Linked DNA regions of Kluyveromyces lactis. The protein of the gene in region 2 purifies or fractionates together with the protein of the main gene of each other region. This does not show direct contact. Links are inferred from orthologs where the notes say so. Each region holds a gene or a part of one and is shown on either strand. Other genes may lie near its edges.

Evidence for each region. The genes of interacting proteins can lie anywhere in the genome.
Region 1: the proteins of SND3 (region 2) and EXP1 purify together in Saccharomyces cerevisiae (affinity purification with mass spectrometry; 3 studies listed by BioGRID). This does not show direct contact. The link is inferred for Kluyveromyces lactis from reciprocal best matches to the Saccharomyces cerevisiae genes SND3 and EXP1.

What each region holds. Positions count from the first base shown.
Region 1 is NC_006041.1:786,876-789,375, reverse strand, and holds EXP1 (Exp1p), read left to right. Parts: upstream 1-1,493; coding exon 1,494-1,925; downstream 1,926-2,500. Other genes in the region: PBI2 (Pbi2p), read right to left, coding at 1-101; YFH1 (ferroxidase), read right to left, coding at 508-1,080; ubiquitin-specific protease UBP1, read right to left, coding at 2,070-2,500. UniProt on the Saccharomyces cerevisiae protein: Specific cargo receptor protein for the plasma membrane ATPase PMA1 that acts with PSG1 to promote the transport and maturation of PMA1.
Region 2 is NC_006038.1:831,922-834,509, forward strand, and holds SND3 (Snd3p), read right to left. Parts: upstream 1,235-2,588; coding exon 662-1,234; downstream 1-661. Other genes in the region: NEDD8-activating protein UBA3, read right to left, coding at 1-356; glucose-induced degradation complex subunit VID24, read left to right, coding at 2,493-2,588. UniProt on the Saccharomyces cerevisiae protein: Functions in the SND pathway, a SRP (signal recognition particle) and GET (guided entry of tail-anchored proteins) independent pathway for targeting a broad range of substrate proteins to the endoplasmic reticulum.

The sequences.
Region 1 (2,500 bases), on a different chromosome or scaffold from region 2:
ACAATAGTACCACCCAGAGAAGAAATGGAGTTTTTGATCTTTGAAGCGTCGGCTTCTGGAACGCTGTCTTTGAATGTGATAATGAACGATTTGAATGTCATGATTGTTATGATTGGGGTTGTTTGCTTCTGGCTCAGAATGACCCCTTCTTTACCGAGACTATCAAATGTGGTTTATAGAAGAGAAAGTTACTGAGTCAAACAGATTTCATTTATAGAAGAGAAAGTTACTGAGTCAAACAGATTTCATTTATATAGCAACAAAGTATAGACTATAAAGAACAAAAGAAGTCAGGGACTGTGTAAGTGCAATCGCGTCAGTAAGGTATATTTTGGACGTTATAGGTATAAATAAATGAAACAAACAAAAGTATATACATAAATAAGAGTAAAATTGGTTGATTGTGATCTCTGAATTGTTTCTGCGAAATTGGGTCCTTAACGGTGAACTGCGGACATGCCATAGTTGTAAGGCAGTTTGTGAGCAGCAAGATCATATTTACATCGTTCAGTAATGTAGGTCAATTTCGTCGCCTTCTAGTCGGTCACTGAGCTCTTTGTTTAGGATATCCAGTAACTTCGTACCGTCTCTCAACGAAACCCACTCCTTTTGATAGTAATCGAATCGGTTGGGCCCAGACACCGGAGAAGCCAACCATATTTGTTTATTTGGGGGCTGCTTGTTGATTACATATGTACCAACGGAAGGAACTTCTATACTCATCACACCTTGTGACATCTCAACATCCTGCACGACTTCTGGATGATAATCACAGAGAATTTCGAGCTGATCCAGTAAGCTATCCATAAACTCATCAGAAATTTCGTGATACACTTCGATAGGCATATCCAGAATCTCTTCTGGGATAGTTTTCCCATCTGTTGATGCTGCTATACTGTTATGCATCCGCTGTACTGTAACAAAGGGTAGATTATGTTGATTCAAAATCCCGAGTTTTGACAACACAGGAGCCCTAGTTGGTGCAGTTCTTGCGAGACCTATGCTAGGTATCGCTTTGGTAACAATACTACGTCTGGAAATGACGCTTCTAATGACCCTGGAGCTATTTTTCACTAGCATTTATTCCTTATCTTCTAATTTCTTTCCTACTGTATCAATTCAATACTCCGAATAATTCCTTTGAACGTTGTCTGTTCCCGCAAGCCTCAAGGTAAATTTACTAATTCAAGCTAATAGCAACTAGGACTGATTCAGTTTTCGCACCTCAATATGTTGTATGCTGAACTCAACGTGATAGAGAATAACGTACCTAAACTGTGATTTCTCAACCTACTTCAACTGAAAAGGTCCTTCAAGTCTTTTAAGTTTATATCTAATTTCCACAATCTATATTGAAAAAAAAAGATCGATGAGCCGACACTCACACTATATGGCTAATGGCTATGCATACAAAGGGAAACAACTGTTTCTTAAGATATAATATCAACTTCTTGACGAAAAGTGCCAACTAGACGTCAGTACTGCCTTTCGCAATGAACCCATTTGTATATTTAATTGTGTTTCTTTTAGTGGTAGCTTTCGTTGTATTACTACCGCTAATTGGAGGAATTGGTTCATATTCAGTGGACAAGAAGACTACCAGACGCAGTGGTGATGCCAAAGATTCGGAAAAGGCTGGATCCCTTGCAAAATATGCAAAATTGAAGAAAGAGGATGCACCTGTGAAGTTTAAAGTTAGTTCATCACAAGAAGGTGAGGGATTTGGGACTCGGAAGTTCGAAATCGATGGGAAAACAGGGTTGAAGAAGCGTGTCATTGGTAAATACAATGAGGACGAAGCTGAATTTGATTATGATGTTGATGAGTTGATCGCGGAGGATTTAAGAGAGCAACAACAAGAGGAAGCTGCAAGGTATGCCCAGTATTTGGGTAAAGAAAATGAGACACAGGAAAATCTTGTGTGAGCCTTTTTGTTCTCACAAGTAAAGAGGTTTACGTACAGCGTTTCAAACTCCTCCAAAACTCTGATTGTAACATGCTATTATATTAGGGGATTTGTGATATTTATGTATCTATGTAACTAGATGCGTGAAATTGCAAAATAAAATTCAATGAGTTACTTGATCAACAGCAGGTTCACCTTCAATCTCTACGTTGAATTCATTCTCGTATTCAGTATCGTCTTTCATCTTCCCTGTTTCTGTATCATAATCGTACTCGTAGAACAACATGAAAACACCGGGGGTAGAAAGCACTTCTTGTTCGTCGACAATGTAAACACTTTCGTCACTAATTCTCCACCAGCAACCACGGAACCTTCTAAATGCAATGTAATGACCATAGTTATGAGTACCATAATGTACAATAACAGATCTTAAAACATATGTCAAAGGCCCGGCAGGAACGCTGGACACAATTGGTTGTGTAGGAGGAAGCGGAGGTGTTGGCAAGGAGTCATCTGATTCTTCTTCGGAGTTTTCCTCGTCTTCTTCAGCTTCGTCTTCTTCATAAGCTTCATCCTCATCATCATCTTCAGGAT
Region 2 (2,588 bases):
ATCCAACGTCTTGCCTCGATAGAATCGAGTCCGGATACGATTATATCGAATTGTGAGATGAAGTCATCGTTGAACTGAGTCAAATCTTGATTGTGAGGCACCACATGCACAAAACCTGTAACTCCATTCTTGCAAGGTATTTGCAATCTATTGATAGCTTCTGCAGCTACAGACGCTTTTGGTTTGCCAATATCACGGGTACTGAATAGAAATTGACGGTTCAAATTGGTCAATTCGATGGTATCCATATCGACAATATGTAATTCTGGCAAACCGTACAGCGCCAATGTCTTGACAATCTCACATCCAAGACCACCGGCACCAAGGATCAATATTTTTACATCACTGACATCCATTTTGCTTGGAGGATATTGATCTGGTCGGCTCGATCAGTAACAGTTAAGGGTTGGGTCTGATCTTTATAGAATAATATTCACGTTTCTTTCAAATAAAGTGCGAAGTCTATGTGTACAATTTAACACTTAAACACGAAAGAAACTGAACAAAAGCTACGATAAAACATCCTATTGAGGTATCTTAATAGTTGTATACATACACGCATGTACATTTATATACATATATACGTGTTTATTTATAAGAGAATGGTGAGAGATGGATGAAGAAAACACATGATTGGAAAACGCAACGATGCGCGTCCCGATTATTCAGCTTTGACACCACCGTTACCAGCCTTTTCAGCAGTTTCGATAGATTTCTTGTCAGTCTTTGGTTCACTGGCACCACCGGCACCACCGAACAAAGATGGAGTCTTGAAAGGTCTCTTCAAATCACCAGAAGCTGGTTTTCCGAACAAATGAATTTGAACTTCGTTATGTTCCAAAGCGGACTTGATTGGTGAGATGGTTTGCATGAACAATGGGTTGGTGTATTTCATGTACAAATGCATGAAACCCATCATAGCCAAACCAGTGTAGATGGATTTAATGGCAGAATCAATCTGTTGTAAATCGTAATCACGAACGGTAGTGACTTCCAATTTTTTCTCGGTTTGACCACCCAATGGGTTAGCTGGAGCCACGTATTTCAAAGTGGCCAAATCGTTCTTCTTAACGATTTGAGCTCTAGCGTATTGGTAGATGGACCAAGTGATGGCAACAGAAGCGACATAAGCGATACGGATGTACAACACGATCGAAGGATCCTCCATATCCAAACGACGAGATACTTGCATCATGATCAACATGATGACTAGGTTACTGATTTGAGCATTCATGGTGGTGGTTAGAGAGTTACAGCTGGGATTGGCTTGGTAAGAAAGAGCACTTCTCTTCTAACTATGAATTGCTTATCGACGGCAGATTCCAGTGGACAAAGGACAACTAACTAACTAATTATTAGAAAAGGCATACATAAATCAGTAAGTATATAAAGTTGAAAAAGAGTAGTTCCGATAATACGTGCAACAAGTAGTAGTGCATCATTTAATAGATACGTATGTGAAAAGATGGTATACAGATTTTATTTTAAATTCCAGTCTGAATGTGGAAGAAGTGACGAGAAAATCTTTTGACGATGAGAGAGATACCCATTGTGTTACCCGGAATAACGTTGAACGGTGGCGAAAATACAAATATAGCAAATATACATATATCCGGGTAACATAAGCGGGCGCGTTATAACAGTAATCACGTGACTAGAAGAGCCACACTTTTTTGACAGCATACACCGAGCGTAGAGAAAGAAAGAGTTAGCTGCGCTAAGTTGTTACCCGCACCTCGGAACAAACCGGATCGGGCTATGTCTGTGAATGTTCCTTTCCCCTGTAGCAACATTCTCTCGTATTTCTTTTTGTGAACTTTGGTCCTTCTTTGATTCTTCCTCCGCCATTTCGTTGGGTACCTCTCTGTTCCAACTTGGTGCCGGAAAAAAAGAAAATCCAAAACGAAAGGTTTTTCCGGGTATTTTGCCCAGAAACCGGTGCACAGTCTCTTCGATATTTCCCCCCGTTTCTTTTCCTTCAACACCAGACTCGCACCTCGATCATAATTCACTCCTGAACACATTTACTCTCTTTTTACTTTTTTCCATTATGTGTCACTCCTTTCACCTATGCAGCCATTTTACTTCTGTCTCTGCCTTGTTCATTGGTTTTTCCCAGTCCAGTTGATAGGATAGAGTCATGGTTGGAACTGGAAATCTTCCTCTTCCGCGTGTTTCATTGTCGGTTTCTTTGCCGTGTTTTATTTCTTTTCCTTTTATCTCTTTTTCTTATTTCTTTATCGATGTCGATCTGGTCTTCGCTTTTTAAAGGTGGCCTGGTGATGCTTTTTATATTACCTTCTTGATTGAGATAGTTATTATTATTATTATTACTATATATATGTATATATACCGAGTGGTTATTGTTGGACGTATTAATCTGTTCGCTGCTTCATCGCAGATTGCCTTTGTCAAGTGAGTTAGTTACTTGCTTTAGAAAACTAGTTACAACTTACAAGTTGTAAGGCAAGATACATTCATACATTTTACAGATGATCAACGAAGATACACGTTCGCATAGCTCTGGGTTGGAGACGCAACTCGCCAAGGCGAGTAGCTCGTCTCCATATAAGGGTCAGGGTCAGACC